2 linked regions of the Elephas maximus indicus genome follow. The protein of the gene in region 2 interacts with the protein of the main gene of each other region in a pairwise test. Links are inferred from orthologs where the notes say so. Each region holds a gene or a part of one and is shown on either strand. Other genes may lie near its edges.

Evidence for each region.
Region 1: the proteins of TRIB3 (region 2) and ATF5 interact in a two-hybrid assay, tested with the Homo sapiens proteins (2 studies listed by BioGRID and IntAct). The link is inferred for Elephas maximus indicus from reciprocal best matches to the Homo sapiens genes TRIB3 and ATF5.

The regions. Positions count from the first base shown.
Region 1 is NC_064829.1:100,367,985-100,378,719, forward strand, and holds ATF5 (cyclic AMP-dependent transcription factor ATF-5), read left to right. Parts: upstream 1-6,224; 5' UTR 6,225-6,314; exon of another isoform or gene 6,315-6,333; intron 6,334-7,471; 5' UTR 7,472-7,578; coding exon 7,579-7,756; intron 7,757-8,804; coding exon 8,805-9,457; 3' UTR 9,458-10,095; downstream 10,096-10,735.
Region 2 is NC_064843.1:38,421,112-38,432,606, reverse strand, and holds the start of TRIB3 (tribbles homolog 3), read right to left. Parts: upstream 5,136-11,495; 5' UTR 5,034-5,135; intron 1-5,033. UniProt on the Homo sapiens protein: Inactive protein kinase which acts as a regulator of the integrated stress response (ISR), a process for adaptation to various stress. Inhibits the transcriptional activity of DDIT3/CHOP and is involved in DDIT3/CHOP-dependent cell death during ER stress.

The sequences.
Region 1 (10,735 bases), on a different chromosome or scaffold from region 2:
TTCCTTTCCACTGGAATGGGGCCTGTTCCTTTTTAATCTACCAACTGGGAGGGGGTGTGGGGAGGTGGTGCAGCCACCTGGACACCTCTTGGACAGTCCCTGGATGGTACAGATGCTTGGCTGCTAACTGAAAGGTTGGAAGTTCAAGTTCACCCAGAGCCTTGGAACAAAGGCCTGGTCATCTGCATCTGAAAGGTCACAGCCTTGAAAACCCTATGACTTGGCTCTACTCTGCACACGTGGGGTGGCCTTGAGTCCAGTCACCTTGAGGGCACCTGGTTGATTAGGCGAGCAGGGAGGGGTCTGGCTCAGACTCTCCAGAAAGAGGAACACTTGGTTCCTTTTGTTCTCTGTTATGGACAAAGAGGACTACAGATGTGGTGGCTGGTGTTTTGTCTGGGGAACCACTGGACATAAAAGGTCACAGAAGCCTCAGTCCTATGGTTTGTTGGGGACTTTTCCAGTCTTTCTGGATTACTTGCCAACATTTAAAACAAGGACCTCAGAAAAGGCTGGAGCTCTACTTCCCCTGTGAAACCAGCGGCTCTGACCCTCCAGCTATCCTTGTAGTGGCAGTGCCTCCTGGCAGCGTGCCATCCAGTCTAGCAGGCTCACCTCATAGGCACTTTCCACGTACTCACTCTTCTGAAGGAGCCCTGGTTGCGCAATGGTTAAGGGCTCCGTTGCTAACCAAAAGGTCAGCGGTTCAAACCCACCCGCTTTTCTGCTGGAGAAATACGTGGCAGGCTGCTTCCATAAAGATGACAGCCTTGGAAACCCTATGGGGCAGTTCTACTCTGTCCTACAGGGTCACTATGAGTTGGAATCGACTCAATGGCACACAACACTTCTGAAACTCACAACTTGGAGACATGGTGGCTGAGGCAACGAAGGGTGCAGCATCTTGTCTGAAACCACATCTGGGACACTCTGTTGCTAACTGTCAGCTTGCACTATCCTTCTCCTACCTAGAACCAGTTCCTGTGGGTGTGGGTGGAGAGGACCCCCAGGGCTGGCCCAATCCTTTACTCCCAGACAAGGAAACCGAGGCTCTGAAAGGGGAGGTGTGGGAGGCTGGATGATAGCCCCTAAGGAGGCCCATGTCTATGACTATTTTACCTACATGGCAAAAAGCACTTCGCAGATGTGATGAAGGACCTTGTGATGGGGAGGGCATCCTGGATTATCCTGGGGGGCCCTGAATTAGTAATGACTAATGACAAGGGTCCTTTTAAGGCGGGGGGGCAGAATGTCAAAGGAGGAAATAGAAGACATGACAACTGAAGCAAGACGTTGGGGTGATGCAAGGAAGAGGTCAAGAGCCAACGAAAGCAGGTGGCCTCCAGAAGCTGCAAAAGGCAAGGAAACGGATCCCCTGCCCCCCTCAGAACCTCCAGAAGGAACACAGTGCTGGGGACCCATTTTAGACACCTGACCTCCAGAACTGTACAAGAGTAAATGTGGGTTGTTTAAGCCACGAGGTTGGTGGCAATTTGTTACCATGGCAAGAGGAAACTCATTCAGAAGGTGACCACAGGGGCTGTCAGAGCTGGTACAGTACAGCGTGGGGCCTAACAGGCTGAGCTGCAACTGCTTCAGCGCTGGGGATCCAGGGACGAGGCAGGAGCAGCAAGGGGAGGGAAGGGGCTGTGAGGACTCTGTGCTCTGACACGTGGCAGGCTCGTGTCCAGGGCTGCCCTTTCCCCAGCCAAGCTGGCCTTGGCCTTTTTGCCTTGTTTGCCCAATGCCCACCTCCAACCCTGCCTCCTGGCCTGTGTGACCCTGACACTGGACCTGGCGCCTCTCAGAGACCACAGTATTGGATTTCCCAGCCTCTGTCCATGAGGAATTCACGTAGAAATGCATGGGTGTGCACATGGGACTGGGGGAACAATTTAGTGCTCGGGGACACACTTATGTCCAAAGACATCTGTCTCCAAGGTTGTGAGGAGAATAGAACCACATGTGGAAGGTACAGGGGAGGGCAATAAACATGTACAGTTTTTGAGCTCCTATTAAGCACCTCCCAGCTTTACCAACATCATTTCCCAGAATCTTCCCAGCGCCCCAGCCTTAGAAATAACGAATGCTCACAGGGCACCTCCCACCTGCTAGGCCCTATTCTAGAAAGTTAACATGCGTTAGCCCATTTAATCCTCACAATGACACTATGAGGTGGGTCCTCTCATCCCCATTTTCCCCATTTTATGGGTTGAGGAAACTGAGTCACAGAGAGACGATGTCACTTGCTGAGGGTCATGGAACCAGAGTGGTGCAGTTGGGATCTGAACCTGGCAGGCTCTGACCTGTACTGTAGAAGCAGCTGAGGCTCAAGCAGATTAAGGACCTTCCCGAATCTGTGGCTAGGAGTAAGCGGTGTGGCCGCAGGATCAGAACCTGCGTCGCCTGATGCAAACCTTGGGGGCCTTTTCCGTCACACCAGCTGTACCCTGACTGGGAAGTGGGTGAGGAGGGCCTCCTCGAGGGCAGCGGGAATGGCTGGACTCGACAGAATTTGCAAACCGTGAATATGAGCAAACCTGAGGTGAGGGTCTGAGTGGTGACCCCCAGCAGGCTCTGCCCTGGAGTGTGGGTTGGGGACCCCCATAGAACTGAGAGACCAGGGTGTGTGAGGCCTGGAAGTGGTGCTGCGGAAGCTGGGGCTCTAGCTAGCAGTGTAATTCTAAGCAAATCTTTTGCTTCTTTGGGCCCGTCCTGCCCCTGCCAGGGCAGCTGGTTGGCTTCAGGGACCTACAGCCACTCCTTGGCATTGAGTCTTGATTCTCAGGGTCCTGCACTGGTGTCCAATTTCCCTCCCTTGCTCCTGTCCACCCCAGCTGTGCTGGAGCCTCTCCCTGATCCAGGGCTCCACTCACCAGGAGCTGTTGCCAGGTGCACCAGGGCCCCCAGAGAATCCCCTCCCCATTAAAGAGCCAGGGATGATGCAACCTGCCTGCAACAGCCGCCTCACTCCCTGAGCCTGGCCCCTCCGCACCGAAAAAGAGTCCCCAGCAACCCTACTGTGCTCCTAGCCCTGAGCTCAGGGCCTGAAGGGGCTGGGGGCCTGGCCCTGAAGGCCTCTTTGAGGCTGGGGGAGGTGGGGATATCTGAGTCCTGGAGGGGCCAGGGGCCCAGGTCTAGGGTGGGCCCAGGAAAAGGTTCAGGGTGCCAGGGGCCCAGTCTAACTACAAGACAAACCCAAACTGAGGGCTCAGGGTATGGAGTTGTAGGCAGCCACAGATGACCCGCAGTGTGTAAACTAAAACATGCCAGAAGGGTTGGGAGCTAAGCGTGTGAATTGGCACCCACTCGGCACTAGGGCTGAATCGGGCGGAATCCAACAACTCTACCAGACAAGGACATAAGGCCCAGAGAGAGAAAACGGCATGGGAGGCTGGGATGTCGGCCACCATGGTCCCTGCCCCAATTCCTTCCCAGTCAGCAGGTGCCCCACAAACTAGTAACAGGATTCCCATTACCAGTTATTTAAAAAATACCCTACCTGGGGGCCCTCTCAAAAACCCATGTTGTTGTGTGCCACAGAATTGATTCTGACTCATAGCAACCCTACAGGACAGAGTAGAACTGTCCCATAGGGTTTCCTAGGCTGTAATCTTTACAGGAGTAGATTGCTGGGTCTTTCCTCCAACAGAATGGCTGGTGGGTTGGAACTGCCAATCTTTTCGTTAGCAGCTGAGCACTCAACCATTGTGCTACCAGGGGTCTTTCAAAAATCCATAGTCCCAGTCTAACCACAAGACAAACCCAAAGTGAAGTGCATTCCAGAAAACAGCCAACCAGCCCTCTTCAAATCTGACCAGATCATCAAAGCCAAGGAATGTCTGAGCAGTGGCTACAGCCCAGAGGCAGCCACGTGTGATGTGGTGCCTTGGAGGGGATCCTGGGACAGAACAAGGCCATGCAGGGACAAGGAATGAAATCAGGTAAGTGTGGCGTTTAGTTTGTTGTAATGTGTCAATGCTGGTTCCAGCACTGTGACAACTGTACCTTCCTCTTGTAAGTTGTTAACAGCGGGGAAAACTGAATGTAGGGTACACAGAAACGCTACACTTTCTCTGTAACTTTTCGGTAAATCTAAACTTTTACTAAAATAGTTTATTTACCTAGTTTCCATATATATAACCCAGAGGGCCTTCTCAGAAGAAGACTGTAGGTGGGGGATAGAGTGAGAAAATAGACCTCAACAGGGAAGGTGCCAAAGGGCTGGGCCAGGGCTCAATCTTGCCAGCAGCAGGTTTTCAGCTGGAGTTGGGGCTTCCCTTTTCTGGTAGTCTGGACAGGGCCTCCCCAGGCTAACAGCCTGCCCGACAGTCAACCCTAATCCCTGCCACCTGCTACTGTTCAAATATCTACACTGAGACATGGAGGGGAGTCCATCCTTAAGCCTCACACCAAAGCTCTAAGGCCATTATGGTCTGAAAGGATCCACTGCTGGCAATGGAAACAGAACATATGCATCTCAGTATTAACAGCAAGAACAGTAATAGTAACAACCCTGAGCAGCAGCCACTATGTGCCAAGCACTACTATAAAGGACAGGCAGAGATTAATTCATTTAATCCTCATTGCCCTAAGAGGCACATGCTATTATTGGCCACGTTCCACCGCAAGGGAAGTCAAGGCATGGGGAAATTAGGGCCACACGGCTAGTCTGGGTTTGAACCCAGACAATCTGGCTCCAGGGTCTGAGCTCTTAAAGTGCTGCCCTATACTGCCTAAGTAATAGCGTAGCCCCTATGAATCCCAGGAACTACAGGGCTAGTGCTCAAATCTGGCTCTAACGGAAGGTGGTCAGATCTCAAGATAGGCTAGCCCAGCTAGCCTCAAAACCCACCTTCCCCGGGTTTTGATTGTTTTGTAGCTGCCCCAAAAGGGATGAGACTGAACTCCATGTGGATGAACGACGAGTGGAAAAGAGAGGGACCTTCTGCAGCACAGCAAAGAGCCATCTCCACCTGGGCCAGCTGGGGGTGATGCGCCCTCTCTTTTAATGAACGGAAGGGTAAAAACCAAAGGAAACCCGATGTCGTCAAGTGGATTCGGACTTATAGTGACCCCGGCTGGAAGACAGTTCCCTGATGCTGAGTGGCAGCTGAGACAAAAAACTGTAAAACCATCGGGAGAAGGGCAGGGGCAGGAGAAAGAACTAGCTGACGAGGGCTGAAGAAGGTGGGCAGGGGCTGTTGAAAAGAGAAAAAGCTGGAGAGGGGGCCATGAGGCCTGAATCCCTCCACCTGGAAGTGGCTGAGCATCTACCACTTGGGAAGGGGAGGGAGGGGATGGCTGGAAATGAACACCAGGGAGGACTGAGACACACAAAAATGACCTCTTAACAGGTGTTGGGTGGTCCAGTGCCTGGGGTTCTGCCAGAAGGGGTGAGACTGGGCACCAGAGTTCCTTTTAATAACAAGGCACCGTTTACCAGGCAAGTATGAGCCCGGTTCTGTGCTTAGGGTTTCGAAGACATCACCTTATTTAACTCTGACAAACAACCCTACCACATGGACACATGAGGCACTGAAAACTTCAGTTATTTGCCCAAGGCCACCCTGGCCGCTCTGTGACTTGAACGAAGGCCATCTGACTCTGACTCAAGCAAGATCTCAAACCTACAAGGCTTTTCAGGCCCGGGCAGCAGCTGAGGGATGAATGGACGGAGAGATTTGGGTGTGGTTGGCAGGAAATTCTTTCATGAAGGGGGGAAGGGAACAGAGAAATGACCACGTGCGAGTCTGAGGGAGGAGAGGCCGGGGTCGGGCTCCAGAGTCAGACAGGAGAGGGCCCGATCCCCAGAAACACGAGCGAGTCTGATCACCAGATCACAGAGAGGAGGAGACTAGACCCCCGGTTCTGAGGGAGGGAGGGGTCTTACCCCCGGGTCAGAAGCAGGAGGGCGCCGGACGCCCGGGTGAGAGGGAGGAGGGGATCCGATCCTCAGATGAGATGGAAGAGGGGGTCCGAACCCCGGGTGAAAGGGAGGAGGGCTCCGGGCCCGCCTCCCGGTTAGGGCCGCACAGGGGCGGAGCGCGGAAGGATCCGGACGGACTGTGCTGCGCCACCTGCGGTATATCTGTCCCCAGTCCCCGGGGCCGCCTCATTCCCCGTCCTCAGATCACGGTTTCCTCACACTAGCGCGACGCCGCCACCGCCCGCGTAGCCCTGGCCATGGCCCTGTAGCCGCGACCCCTCCGTGCCCCCCGGCCCGTCTCCGCGCTCACCGCACCTGCGCTATCCGCTCTTGCCTTCTTTCTTCAGCCGAGGCCTCCGCTGCCTCCCCTTTCTGCCGCCATGGAGTGAGTAACCGCTCGCCCCTCCCTCTCCAACCGCCTTTCCCGCCCTTTCGCTGCGCGCGGCCCTCAAGGCCTGACCGGGGGTTGGGTAGGGAGAAGTGATTGGGGAATCTTGGTTGCGCAGGCGCAGAAGCGGGGGGGCGCCTGTCGGCGCCCATCGGAGCATGCGCACTCGGTCCGAGGTGGGGGGGCAGGGTTCTTCCTGATTGTTTACGCTAAGGGAACGCGTGCGGTTACTGCCGCGCACTAGCTCCCACAGAGTTCCCTCCCCCTCCCCCGGAAACGAGTCTAGCCGTACGCTGTTGGTCATGCGCACCAGCCCACCAGAGCCCGTAATTGTGCGGAAAGGTCGGGGCGTACGCCGCCGCATATGCGCACTGACCCCCAAGAGGGCGGGGAGGGGGGGAATGCATGAGAACACAATTTACACCACCTGGATGACAGATCATGCGCTTTAGCCCTCGGGGAGACGGCGACTTGTGGAAGGGTGGGGGTGGAAGACATTTTCCACAACCTTTCCCCCGCCCTCCTTTCTCCACACTGCGGTGGCGCACAGCGTAGCTTCACTCGCTTTCAGCAGGCATCTGCTGGGGCGGGGCCTAGTTTAGATTGACAGGGAAGAAGGCGGGGCTTAGGGCGAGGAACACAGGTTTCGTGAGGGGCGGGCCAACACGTTGTGGGAAAGGGCGGGGCCAGGCGAGGAGGGGTTTCGTCTGGAGAAAGGCGGGGCCTATAGGGACTCAGGAGGAGTGGAGCTTGGAGGGCACGGGGGCAGGCGGGGAGTGGGGGTTCACTACTAAATTTAAGCGAAGAGTGGAGTCTAAGCACATAGCATTGATGAAGGAACAAAACATGGGGGAATTCCCCTGGGAACTGATTTGAGATGGAATCTAGGGATGGGGCGGAGCCTAAAGGAAACATTTTTGGGGAAGGGGCGTGGCTAGAAGAAAATTCCCCTGGGATTCAGGTTTTTTAATGAAGAAGAGTGTCAAGGGGTGGATGGGAGAGGCCTAAGGAGAATTCCCTTGGGAGTGTGGGGGGCTCAGGGTTTAGAATTCCGAGAGGGGGGAACCTGTTAGCAATGGGGGTATGGCTTCCCGGTGCCTTTGGCTGGTGGCGGTCTGGCTGCTGACTCTGCTCCCTTTGTCTCCAACGTGTAGGTCCTCCGGTTTCGCCTTGGTGCCTGCCTTAGTCCATCTGAGCAACCTCCCAGCTGTTGGTGCTGCCTCCTTCGTTGCCATCCGTGCCCAGCGCCTCTTTTGCAGCCATGTCACTCCTGGCGACCCTGGGGCTGGAGCTGGACAGGACCCTGCTCCCAGCTAGCGGGCTGGGCTGGCTCGTAGACTATGGGAAACTCCCCCTGGCCCCTGCCCCCCTGGGCCCCTATGAGGTCCTTGGGGGAGCCCTGGAGGGCGGGCTTCCAGGGGGGGGAGAGCCCCTGGCAGGTAAGGGCAGGTGGAGAATGGAGGTGGATGAGCTGGGGGGAAGTGGGGGAGAGGGAGAAGGAAGAATTAATTTATTCATTGATTCTGTAAATACAATGCGTCAGGCACTGTTTTAGCTGCTGAGGATAGAGCCAGGAACAAGACTGACATGATTCCTGCCTTCCCAGAACTCACATTCTTGTGGGGAGACAGACAACAGTCAAGTAAAACGAAGATGTATTGGGACTAAGTAGGAAGCACTTAGTGACTGAGCTAGAAAATATCAAAGGGGACCTAGTTTTAGAGTGGGTAGCCAGGATACCTTGTCCAAGAAGGTAACATTAAGCTGTGGCCTGAAGAATGGGAAGGAACGAGCTATCAAAAGGCCCAAGGGAAGAGCATTTCAGGTGAAGGAACAGCATATGCAGAGACCCTGAGACAGGAATTGTTTTAGTCATTACTATATCCCAAATGCTTGACACATTGTAGGTTTTCAGTAATTAATGAATTAAAGTTGAAGCACGGTGTGTGTGTATGTGTGTGTGATGTCATCTAGTTGGTGTTTTAAGGACAAACTAGAGAGTAGATTAGAGGAACCGTAGAAAAAAGTAAAGAGGATGTTGGATTGGTTGAAGAAAAGGTTGGTTGATGGATGGTTGGGTGACTGGTTGGCAGATTGGTTCTTTTGTTGGCTGACTGGTTTTTTGGCTGTTTGACTGGTTGATTGATTAGTTGGCTGACTGACTGATTCATTGGTTGGTTGACTGGTTTGTGGGATGGTTGTCTGGCTGGTCTACAGGTGGTTTGGTTGACTGGTTGACTGCTTCACTGATTGGTTGATGGCTTGGTTTACTGGCTCATTGATTGATTTACTGGTTGGTTGGTTGATTGGTCAAATTGTTGGCTGATTGTTCATTGGTTGCTTGACTGACTTGTTGGCTTGTTGACTGGTTTGATGATTTGTTGATTGGTTGGTTGTTTTACTGAATGAATGGGATGAATGAGTACCCAATTGGATGGAGGACCAGGAACTCAGATGGAACTTTATGTCCCTTCTCCAATTCCCTAGGAGACGGCTTCTCTGACTGGATGACTGAGCGGGTTGACTTCACAGCCCTCCTTCCTCTGGAGCCTCCCTTTCCCCCTGGTGCCCTTCCCCCACCTTCCCCGCCCCCACCTGATCTGGAAGCCATGGCCTCCCTCCTCAAGAAGGAGCTGGAGCAGATGGAAGACTTCTTTCTTGATGCCCCACTCCTCCCACCACCCTCCCCTCCTCCGCCACCCCCACAAGTTCCTCCTCTCCCCCTCCCCACCTTAGACCTCCCCCAGCCCCCTGCCCTGGATACCCTCGACTTGCTGGCCATCTACTGCCGCAGCGAGACTGGGCAGGGGGATGCTGTGGGGTTGGCACCCCTGCCCCCACCACAGCAGCCCCATCCTCCCCCACCTCAGCCCTCTCGCCCAGCCCCGTACCCCAACCCTGCCACCACCCGAGGGGACCGCAAGCAGAAGAAGAGAGACCAAAACAAGTCAGCAGCTCTGAGGTACCGCCAGAGGAAGCGGGCAGAGGGCGAGGCCCTGGAGGGCGAGTGCCAGGGGCTGGAGGCTCGGAACCGGGAGCTGAGGGAAAGGGCTGAGTCGGTGGAGCGGGAGATCCAGTACGTCAAGGATCTGCTCATCGAAGTGTATAAGGCTCGAAGCCAGAGGACACGCAACAGCTAGATGGGCAGGGGCTTTGGCCTGTAGGGGGCACTGGTATTCAGCTCTGGGTCACTTCCGTTTCTGTGGCTGAGGTGGGACCCCTTCATCATCCCTCTACCTCCAGCTTCATTCTACACCCTTCCCTCCTTTATTTTTATCCTTGTCTCCTTTCTAGCCCATTTCTGAATTTGGTCCCCTACTCCATCCTCAGAACTTTGGAACGTTTGGCCTTAGTTAACATCTCCATCCCTCAAGTATCAGCTGAGGAACTGAGAGCTACAGGGAATTCAGGGAGCAGATCAGCGCTTGGAAATAGGGCCTCTTGAGTCCCAAATCAGTGCTTTCTTGCAAGTTGTTCTCGGTGCGGGGTGGAGTGGTCCTGGCTGGAACCTAGAGGTGGGGCCAGGAAGCTATGCAGAATTACTATGCCAATGAGAACAGGGACTCTGGATAGGTAAGTCAGGGAGCGCTTCAAGAAAAAGCAAAAAAACCAAGCCAAGTGACCTTGGGGAGAACTACTTTTGGGGAGAGAGTCCAGAGGTGGCCAAGTTCACAGAGCAGGTGAATATACAGGCAGTGGGGAGGAAGGGGCAGGGTGGGGAATGGCCATAGTTGGTGACTGGGTGTTCAATTTTAGCTCTGGGAGGAAATCAGTGTTTTGTGAAGGTGTTGGGGGATGGGGCTGCATCTAGGTGAGGGAGGGCGGGGAGTGATCCTTTGGGGGTTTGTGAACAAAAATAAAATGACTTTCCTCTTGGTCTCCATGTCTTATCTTTGAGAGGGGAAGTTGGGGAGTAGCTGTATCCACAGCTGATACAATGAACCTCTTTTTAGATTCAGCTAATTTATTAATTAGATAGAAAGTGAAAGAAAGAACAGCCAAAGGTGCCAGCTTCCCTCAGTCCTTGTCTCATACAACAAAAAGGATGACTCCAAAACAAAAGGGGCTGATGGCTGCAATGTGAGTTGTGGGATGCTCTCTTGCTGAGGAGCCAGTTTTCTTATGCAGACCTCTTGGGAGAAATAGGTAAGTTGGAGATGGGCTTGCAGCCCCTCCTTAAAAGCCTCCCATTCTCTTGTCATCAAGAAGACCTAACTGTCATGTAGAGCTCTAGCTGCAAGAGAGTCTGGACAACACACGTGGTTAGCTTTCTAAGCCTTCTTAATATATGGAGTGTGTAATGGAAATTGAGAGAACCAACCAAATAACCAATCAAACTGTCAACCAACCAATCAACCTGTCAACAAATCAGTCAGTGAAGCAGTCAACCAATCAATCAGTAAGTAAACTAGCCAATG
Region 2 (11,495 bases):
GTACAAGCTGCAGTTGGGAATGGGTGTGGCTGCAGCAAAGTGTGAAAAGTTCAAGAAATAAGGCTGGTGAGATGAGCAGGGTCCTATTCTGAAGGGCTCTACAAGCGCCACATGGCAGAGATGGCTGGTTGTCCCTCAGTCTCTGGTCCCCCCTTCTCACAAAAGATTAGGACCTGAAGTTTTTAGATGAGCACGAGGCCACTCGGAATAAAGACTACATTTCTGTCTCCCTTGCAGCTAGGTATTGATGTATTGATGTGGCTAATAGGATATTAATGGAAGTATTGCGTCCAACTCACAAGGTGATGTCCTTAAAGAGAGGGCCTACCCTCATTTCCTCCTTCCTGTTGGCTGGAATGTGGACCCGATTGCTGGAGCCCCAGCATCCATTTTGGACCAGGAAGTACTACATATACAGTGGAGCAACAAGAGTAGAGCCTGACTCTGACACTGGGAGCACAGACCAGCCCTGGGCTGCCTGCCTCCAGAGTTTTTACACAGGAGAGAAATAAACTTCTATTTCATCTCATCTGCTGCTAAACTGCTTGTTTCTATAGTACAGCTGAAGGAGCCCTGGTGACGAAGTGGTTAAGCACTCGCCTGCTAACTGAAAGGTGATTATTCAAACGCACCAGCCGCTCCATGAGATAAAGACATGGCAGTCTGCTTCTGTAAAGATTACCAAAAAAATAAAAACCAAGCCCGTTGCTGTCAAGTCGATTCCAAGTCGTAGCGACCCTATAGGACAGACTAGAACTGCCCCATAGGCTTTCCAAGGAGTGGCTGGTGGATTCAAACTGTTGACCTTTTGGTTAACAGCCAGGCTCTTAACCATTGGCACCAGAGCACAGCCATAGTTTCAAAGGCTCAGAGGAGGAGGATCCAGAGGCTCCGTAGTGGACTGGACGTGGGGGTGAGAGAGAGGGTGGAGTCAGTGAGGTCCAGTATTAGGTTCCTGAAGTAAGGAAAAGGCGTGGTAGCTTTATTTCCTGAGCTAGGGGAGAAACCCTTACTTTTGGAACTCTGGAGGAAGGTAGTTGAGTTTCATTTTAGACACGTTGCATCTAAGCAGAAAGAGTAGCATACTGGAGACGTTGTGAAGGAGGGTGTGCACCATGGCAGCCACTAACAACAAGGACATTCTGGTGGCGGGAAAATGGTGCAACCTCAATGGCATACATTTTGATAATATCAAAATAAAAAATGCACACACGCTTTGATTCAGTAATTAATCCCATCGCCAGGAATTTACCCTTTAGATGTGTGTGTGTAATAATGCACCCATTGCTGTCAAGTCAGTGCCGACTCATGGCAACCCCATGTGATACAGCAGAACAACTCCATTCGGTTTTCTTGGCTGTAGTCTTTGCAGAAGCAGATCTCCAGGCCTTTCAAAGCATTGATCAGTGGGTTCCAACCGCCAACCTTTCAGTTAATAGCTGAGGAACCTCAAAATGGTGCGAGTACAAGGTTATTTCCTGACACCCTGTACAATATAGAAAAAGAATGGCAAACCGGAAGTCCACCTTTAGGGGACCGGTTAAGTGAGTTATACTTCACCCATACAATGGAAGGTTATGCAGCCATTGAAAAGACTGAGGGAGCTCTTTACGTGCTAATTAGAAAGACCTCCAGGGTGAACAGTTAAGGGGAAAAGAAAAACAAAAAGTCAAACAGAAAGATGAGCTTGGTGGTGGGGTGAGAGGGAGAGAGACTCAGCACTGTGTCCATTGAGTCTGGTTGTATAGACATTTATCATCTGTTGAAAGCAGGGGGGAGGAAGGAAGGAAGGATGAGGGTGAATGAATGGAATATGTACTAGACGTTTGTATGAATGGATGTAGAGAATGGGTGTACATTGTCAAGTGAATGAACAAAGCAAGTTGCCTGACAATACACTTGAAGTGATTCCATTTGTGAAAAAACTCAACAGCACATAGAACAATGCATCTCCATATCTGTACATAAGTAGGTGTGTGAGTGTGCAGGAAAAGGTCTGGAAGGACCCAGAGTAAATTGGCCACAGAAGCTTCTGGAGAGGAAGGGATTTGCAATGGAAGCAAGGAAATTTTTCTATTTCAAAATTTTAAAATAAAGATTCTGCTTTCGTTGATTGTTGGGTATTTCAAAAGAGAGCGTATTTCTTTTCTCAAATGTGACTTTTCTCTGCTGTATGAATAGGCCAATGGCCCAGAGCCGCTGTAATCAGAGTTCATATGCAGTTAGTCTATGAGACAGACACCTGAGTGCTCCAGTGTCACATCAGAGAAATGGGACTGAGCAGGGAGGGTCTCTCAAAGGCCCCAAGATTCCCTCATTCCACTGTGGAGTAAAGTGCCACATGCCCAGTTGAGAACTGTGTGCGGTGAGTGGGAGAGAGGACAATGTAATGGCCGGTCAGGGTGGGAAGCTTCTCTCCCGGACCCATCTGTCCAACCATTTAGGCTCCAGATGAGGACATTGGAGACGTAGGTCTGAGACATTAGATCAAGCCAGACTTCAGCCCCGATAAAGGACAAACAGTCCAAGCAGAGGCAGGATGAATGGGAAACATCATGCAAGTTGGTCCTGAGATGGAGACCCCCTGCTCCAATCATGCAGCTCCCATAGGCTGCCTTGGGTGGGAGGGGACACTCCCAACCCAGTGAAAGCCCATAACCCTTCTTGGAAAGAATGTGATGGGGGGAAGGGGTTGGAGTCAGATATTCCTGGGTTCTAATCCTGGCTCCATTCATTCCTGGTTGGATAGTTCTGGGCAAATTCCTCAAATTTCTGAGCCTCAGTTCCCTCAACTGTAAAATGGGAAGAGGATGCAAAGCCCACAGGATTTTTGTGATGATGAAATGAAAACTCAAATTACGTAGAGCTTAGCGTGGCCCTGTAGGAGGATCAAAAAAAAAAAAAAAAAAAATGTTGCTGTCAAGTCAGTTCTGACTCCCTGCAACCCCATGTGTCAGAGTAGAACTGTGCTCCATGAGGTTTTTAATGGCTGATTTTTCAGAAGTAGGTCCCCAGGACTTTCTTCAGAGGGGCCTCTGGGTGGACTCCAACTGGAGTCATTTGCACCAGCCAGGGACTCCTGTTGCCGCATATTGCTATGTGTGCAGTTGAGGGGATTCCAACTCACCGCAACCCTGTAGGACAGAGTAGAACTGCCTCCACAGGGTTTCCTAGACTGTAATCTTTACAGGAGCAGATTGCCAGGTCTTTTCTCCCGCAGTGCAACTGGGGGGGTTTGAACCTCTGACCTTTCCCAGCAGAGAAGCCCTTAACCATTGCATGTCGGAGAGGGTCACTACTGTTGTTCTATGGGTCCCCTGGTGCTGCAGTGGTTAAGAGCTCAGCTGCTAACCTAAAGGCGGGCAGTTCAAATCCACCAGCCGCTCCTTGGAAACCCTATGGGGGGGTTCTACTCTGTCCTATAGGGTCACTATGCATAGGAATTGACTTGTTGGCAATGGATTTGAAAATGGATTTGGATGGGTTCGATTGTCCTATTATTATTTATCATTATTATTCATAGCTGAATGTACTTAAGTGCTACTCTTGAAAGTCTTAGAAATCTCCCCAGAAATCCCCTTCAGGGATGAGGCTAGGATAACACTCCTTACCTCACCTCCCCGGGCTGTTCTAAGAGTCCAGTGAGATGGGACCTGGCTGAGTAAGTGCTTCACCGCCCCCCTCCTCCGCCCCACACACACCAGGTGAAGAGGGGGATGGGGCCTGGTATCAGCTCCGTTGGACAGATAGGGTAACTGAGTCTCTAAATGAGCAAGGGACTGACTCTGCAGGCCACACGGCAAGCCTAGAACCTTCACTGTAGGATGGAGGCAGCCCTTTATATCTACCTCCTGCTTTTCTCTGCCATAGGGAGAGGGGGAGAAGTGAGGAGGAGTCATACCCACCACTCATCCGCATCCAGGGCAGACAGGTGTACACCCCTCCCCCCAAAAAAAAACTTCATCCAAGCCAGTCGAAGACACACGTTCAGAGCAGAAAGGGACGCACACCTCATTACATGGCACACACACACACACACATCCCCCAGAACTATCACAACCACGATCAACACCGACAAGGCCACATGCTTCCGACCGGAGGAGAGGGGGCGGCGGGCCATCGGAAGCCCCGCCTGCCCTGGGCCCTCCCGTGGGCGCGGAAGCAGCGTGCGGCGCACATCTGGGGACAGAAGACCCAGTGGAAACGGAAGAGCTGCCCGTGACTGGAAGACAGTGAGGCAAAGGGTAGGAGGTTGGATCCTAGGGCCCGGCGAAGGGGCAGATCTGGGCCCTCGTCCCCCCTGCCCCAGAGACTGCAGGTACACCACAAACCGTCTGCGGGAACAAAACCTATGCGCGCAGAGTACAACCTGCAAATCCGCGGCAAGCTGCCGGGTGCACACTGCGGCCTACGCCCGGCACTCCCCGCACCCCCGCTCACCCAGTCCGACACCCCGCGTGCGGCCTCTTCGTTCCCATTGCCTTGCACCCGCACCCAGCTCCCGGGGCACCCCAGCTCCGCACCGGCCGGGCCCTCTGCACATCCAACACCTGTCCCCAGAGCTCGCACCATCCAAGGAGGCACGCAGATTCCCGAGACCCCCGCGGACCCCCGCACAGCCCGCAGACACTCAGACGCAGACCCTACAGAGTTCTACAGTTCTCCAATGACCCGCGCAGACCTCCCCCACAAAACTCACAACTTCCCCAGTCCACACTCACACAAAACAGACAACACCGCACACCTCTCTGGGGTGACACAAGGACACCTCCATCCCGGGATCTCCTTTCCCCCTGGGTCACAGCTACTACGCCCCGCGAGAGACCCCGCACCCTACGAGACCTGTGGGGACGCTGGGCCCGGTGCGCCCCGCGGACAGCGGGACTTGTGAAAAGTTGCGTGTGTATGTGTGCGCGTGTGTGTACGTAACATGTAGCCACCCTCGAGCACCCCGAGGCTCTGGCCCCCCGTGCGCGCCGGGCTCCCCACTCCGGTCGGCCCCGGCCGGTTCGCTCTCCTGCTCTGCCGGTTACCTTGGTCTCGTGTCCCGCGTGGTTCCCGGCACCGTCCAAGCGCAGAGTCGGCAGGGTCCCCGAGGTGAACCGGGGACCGCTCCGCTGCGGCTGAGCTCCGGCTCCGGTCTAGCTCCCGCCCGCTGTCGCCGGACGCTGACGAGGCTGCCGCTGCCGCCGCTCGAGCTGCGAATGTCTCGGGGGCGCCGGGCGTAGCTCGTCTCCAAGCCCGGGTGATGTAAACCTGAACTAATCCGCGCCGCTGATGCCCTCAGACGGGGGATTGCACCATCCCGAGCGCCCCGCCCCCGGGGTCACCGCCCCGGCTCGCTCCGCCCGGGCCTCGCCTCCTAGGTCAGCTCACTGCCGGGCACCCTGGCCTCGCCGTCTACCAGGGCCGAGTCCACCGCCACTCGGCCCCCCGCGCCCGGAGCTGAGTGCGGACATCAGCCTCTGGCTCTCCCCATCATCTGGGAAAAATCAGTTTATTGTTATGAGCCCCAATTTCCCCAACTGTGAAATGGAAAGAACGTCTTTCCCTCCCAAGATGTTGCTGAGAAGAAAAAGAGCAAACTGAATGTTTCACGGGTGCTTCCCTGTTTATAAAGCACCAGCCCACTACCGCCTTATTAACTCTTAGGAGAACCTTGGGCAGAAAGCCCCGTTGTCCCCATTCTGCGGAAGAGCAGCCTGAGGTCCAGCTGTGGGACAGCAACCCAGGAGCTTTGCAAAGACTCACAGACTTAAGAGCTGACTCCTGGCTCATAAGAACCAGTGGGGTGCCTAGGGAGGCCTGAGCTTCACAATCTGGTGGGCTTTACGGCATTCATGATAGAAGCAGTGTGGTCTAATGGTTAAGAACAACTGCACGCCAGGGCTCCAACCTAGAAGGACCCTGCCTAAGTGTGTACCCCACCTCTGCCTTGACCTACTGTCCTACCTCAGGAAAACAACTTAAAGCCCTGCTTCAGTTTCCTCCTCCCTATCATGGGGCATAAAAAAAGAAAAAAAATTTTTTTTTTATCATGGGCTCATAACAGTATTCACTTCATAGAGTTGTTTTGAGGATTAAATAAGTTAATACATGTAAAATGCTTAAAACAGTGTGTGACGTATCGTAGGTGCTCAATAAATAAAGTGGAGACAGTGGAAACGTAGAGATGGGAAGAGGCCTATAATGACTTGAACCCAGAGGCCTGGGAGCCCCTGGTGCCATATGCTGTTCAGCGGAGCCTCCCTGAGCAGCCTCAGGGGTCCAACACCTTTCTTAGAAATCTATGTTAGGTCTTGATATCTGAATTCACCAAATGTCAGAAAATAACTCCTCAGGCAGAGGCTGGATGGGAGGAGGGACAGAGTCACTTTCCTTTATTTCTGGCCCCAGGGACCAGCTCATCTGTGTCTCAGAATCCCCAGCCTTTGGGGCACACCAGGGGGATCTGAGATATCATTTCACCCTGAGGACTCCCCCACTGGGGAGGGATGAATGAACTCATCTTTTTCTTTATTTTGATAAAAATATATATAAGAAAACATTTGCTGTGTCAACATTTTTTACATGTACAATTCAGTGACATTAATTACGTTCATCGTGTTGAGCAATCATCGCCACTATCCGTTTCCATCACCCTTAAAAAGAAACTCAGTGCCCCGTAAGCAATGACTCCTCTCTTCCCCTCCCTTCTGCCCCTGGCAACCACTGATAAACTTAGATCTCTATACATTTGCCAATATTAGAAGTTTCATGTAAGTGGGATCATACAGTATTTGTCCTTTTGTGACTGACTTATTTCACTTAGCATAGTGTTTTCAAGGTTCATCCATGTTGTACCCTGTATCAAGACTTCATTTCTCTTTATGGCTAAGTGTGTACGTATACACATTGTGTATGTATATACCATATTTTCTTCATCCATTCATTTCTTGATGGACATTTAGGTTGTTTCCACATTTTGGCGATTGTGAATAATGCTGCAATGAACACTGGTGTACGAGTATCTGTTTGTACAAGTATCTGCTTTCAAGTCTTTTGAGTACAGACCTAGGAGTGGAATTGCTGGGTCATGTGATAATTCTGTTTAACTTTTTGAAGGAACCACCAAACTGTTTTCCACAGCAGCTATATCATTTTCCAATCCCACCAGCAATGGATAAGCGTTCCAACTTCTCCAAGTCCTCATCAACACTTGTTGTTTGAGCTCACTTTTTACACCAGGACACCAAGGTTCAGGCTGGAAGGGCCAGTGGTCAGAGGTGAAGAATGGCGGAGATGGTTGTTCTCTGAGCACCTGCCTGAAGCCAGCACTGCAGTGAGCTTGCTCTTACATCCCTATCTTGTGGAATACTGCTGGGTTGTGGGCCCCGCTCTAAATGCTGGTCTTAACTCAGCGGAGACAAGACTGACCCATCCCTGCCCTCGCGGATCTTAGAATTCAGTGAGGAGACAGACCATTGTCAAGAAAATAAAATGAAAACTGTTTAAAACTGATTTTAAGCATCATGTATTTATTTTCTTGAATAAAATAAGGTAGATTTGTTCTTTCTACCATGCTTGAGGAAGGACGTTGGACCCTACCGGGTTAATAGAAACTGCTCAGTGGCACCCTCCCATCCCCACCCCTACCTTCAAGTGGCCCCCAGGGCACGTGACATACATCCCATATCTTAGACACACCTCTGTTACCAGGACCGAGGGGTGACTATTTTCAGTAGGCCTCATCAGGAAGATGATATTTGAACTAAGAGCTCAAGGAAGGAAGAGGTGAGGGGTGCAAAGGTATGCAGGGGAGACAGAAGAAACAGGAAGTGCAAAGCCCAGAGGCAGGAACATGAGTCAGTTAGAGGACTGCAGGATGGGCACTGTCGCCTCCTTTCCATAGAGGAGCCAAGGCGAGGGGCTCACCCAAGGCCACCCAGGTTGGATGAGGCAGATTTGAGATTTGAACCTAGGACAGCTGACTCCAGTCCCCACCCTGTCCTGGGACATTTTACAGCCTTTGCAATCCAGTGGCCTCCATCTGGACTTGTGGGTATGGCCACTGGAACTACACCCTGGGCATAGCCCCCAGATTTGGGGGCCTTGTCGTAGTTGGGTTTACTGAACCCCTACTCTCTAGTCCAGCACTGTCCAATAGAAACGTAATGTGAGCCACCTATGTAATTTCAGATTTTATAGTTGCTGCATTAAAAAAAAATAAAAAGAAGCAGGTGTAAATAATTTTAATAATTTCTTATACTTAATCCAATATCTCGAACATATTATTATTTTGGAAACCATGGTGGCATAGTGGTTAAGTGCCATGGCTGCTAACCAAAGGGGTTGGCAGTTCAAATCTGCCAGGCACTCCTTGGAAACTGTGGGGCAGTTCTACTCTGTCCTATAGGGTCTCTATGAGTCGGAATCGACTTGACAGCCCTGGGTTTGGGTTTTTTGGTTTTATTGGTATTTTAACATATAATTAACATAAAATTTAATTATTAATGAGATATTAAGATTTTTTGCCATACTGATATCTTTGAAATCTGGTACGTATTTTACGCTCACAGTACCGCTCAGTTTGGACACCAAATTGTCACTGGCTAAAGTGAAACGTAGTCCTGCTGAAACAACTAAGTTGTGTTTATTGGGAAAAATATTTCGCCTCCTTCAGTTTTACAATTAAAATAAATTAAAAAATCAGTCACAGGAGTTCCTCAGTCACCCTAGCCAAATTTCAAGTGTTCAATAGCCACATGTGGCTTGTGGATACCCTATTGAGCAGTGCAATCCTAGACCAAGATTCCTGATAAATGATCCAGGGAGTATAATAAAGAGGTTAAGAGCTTGGGCAGACAGGAATTTGACTCCTCTGTCTACAATCTAGAGCCCAAATAGCCTTGAGCCTCAGTTTCTGCATCTATCAAATGGGATTTATTATACCTCCCTAGCATTGCAGTCGTAAGGATTAAATGCATTGAGGAAGCCTCCTGTCCTTGTTAAACGTTTTCTGGGTTCAAATCCCACCACTTCTTAGTGGTGAGATTTTGGGCAAATTACTTAAGCTCTCTAGGCCTCAGTTCCCCTATCTGTAAAATAGGGATATTGATAGTACCTACCTCGTTGGGTTGTCATGAGGATTAACGCTATAAATCCTTATGATTTATAAATAAACCTTATGTACACATTTGTTAAAAAGTGAGAAAATAAATAGGGATCAAATATTAAATGCAAAAATGTGCCCTTTCCTGACACAGTTCAGCTTTCATGAATCTACTTCATTCCAAAACATCTCTCTATGCAGGTGTGTGAGCAGATAGGCTGTTTCTATTTGCTGGAGCTCTGATGAGGCCTGGCCTCTGACCTCTGACCCGCAATGCTGGGGTGAAAAGGAACTGGGGATGGGGCTGTGCTCTACCGGAGAGGAAAGGACCTGGAGTCTATTGACTTCTGTGATCAGAGCCACATCTGCCTCCTTTCTTTCTTTCTTTTTTTTTTTTAATAATTTTTATTGTGTTTTAAGTGAAAGTTTACAAATCAAGTCAGTCTCTCACACAAAAACCCATATACACCTTGCTACACGCTCCCAATTACTCTCCCCCTAAGGAGACAGCCCGCTCTCTCCCTCCACTCTCTCTTTTCGTGTCCATTTTGCCAGCTTCTAACCCCCTCCACCCTCTCATCTCCCCTCCAGGCAGGAGATGCCAACATAGTCTCAAGTGTCCACCTGATCCAAGAAGCTCACTGCTCACCAGCATCCCTCTCCAACCCATTGTCCAGTCCAATCCATGTCTGAAGAGTTGGCTTCGGGAATGGTTCCTGTCCTGGGCCAACAGAAGGTCTGGGGGCCATGACCACCGGGGTCCTTCTAGTCTCAATCAGACCATTAAGTCTGGTCTTATGAGAATTTGGGGTCTGCACCCCACTGCTCTCCTGCTCCCTCAGGGGTTCTCTGTTGTGTTCCCTGTCAGGGCAGTCATCGGTTGTAGCCAGGCATCATCTAGTTCTTCTGGTCTCAGGATGATGTAGTCTCTGGTTCATGTGGCCCTTTCTGTCTCTTGGGCTCATAATCGCCTTGTGTCCTTGGTGTTCTTCATTCTCCTTTGATCCAGGTGGGTTGAGACCAATTGATGCATCTTAGGTCGCTGCTTGCTAGCGTCTTCTCCCTTTCTACCAGGTTGTCCCTAGCCAAAAAACCAAATCTGTTGCTTTTGATCAATTCTGACTCATAGCGACCCTATACAGTGTCCCCAGTGGCTGCTGTATGCCTGAAATTCCACTATCAGTCCTTAAAGCTTTTCATCTTCACCGATTCACCCCACGAAAGTAAAGCTATGCCTTGAAAAGTGTCCCAGCTGGATTCCAGGTCTGGCTAAAGCCACTGACTCTCTGAAATCTTGGGCAAGTCATCTCCTCTCTTGGAGTCTCAGTTTCTTCATCCATAAAATAGGAAGAGAGAGTTGGTTTAGGTCAGTGTTCTCCAAAATATCATAGGTAGGGCACTGGTGGGATGCCAGATGGTTTTATGGTCTCAAAATTCTGTACTAAATAACACTGGGTCATATCGGGAGATAGGCATTCTTTTTTGATTTTCTTTCTGTTCCTCTAATTACCTGGGGAGAAAGTCTCATTTAACAGCTGCTGTGTCTTTAACGGAGCCCTGACAGAGCCCTGGTGGTGCAATGGTTAAGAACTACAGCTGCTAACCAAAAAGGCTGGCAGTTTGAATCTACCAGCTGCTCCTTGGAAACCCTATGGGACAGTTCTACTTTGTCCTATAGGGTCACTATGAGTCAGAATCGACTCAACGGCAATAGGTTTGTTTGTTTTTCTGATTATGTCTTTAACAAGGGAGCCCTGGTGGTACAGTGGTTAAGCACTTGGCTGCTAACCAAGAGGCTGGTGGTTCGAACCCACCAGCCACTCTACAGAATAAAGATGAGACAGTCTGCTTCTGTAAAGATTATAGCCTTGGAAACCATATGAGGCAGTTTCACTCTGTCCTTTGGGGTCACTATGAGTTGGAATCAACCCGACAGCAACTGGTTTATGTCTTTAACACCTCAGTTTTTAAGGAAAAGAAAGCAAGGCTCTGGCTCAGAGCCTTCAGCAAGAAACAGGATTTAGCTAAAATTTAATAATCTTGGTTTGCTCTCCTTATACTTAATTTTATAGTTACCTTTTCTTTATGGCAAATGAGAGCGGTTTTCCATTTGAAGTCAGTGGTGCACATTTTCCTTTTCAAATAAATTTGCCTAAGTTTAAAAGAATGACCTTATTGAAAGAAAAATATTACAGAACTAATAATACAGATGGGTGTCAGTCACAAAAGGACAAATATTACGTGATTCAACTTATATGAAAGGCCTAGAACAGACTAATGTATACAGACCTAAGGTTGTTAGTGTTTACCGGGGGCGGATGGGGGGAGGGGACTTTGCTTAGGAAACACCACAGTTCTGTTAAGGGTGATGGAAAAAACTGGAGATGGATAATGGTGATAGTTG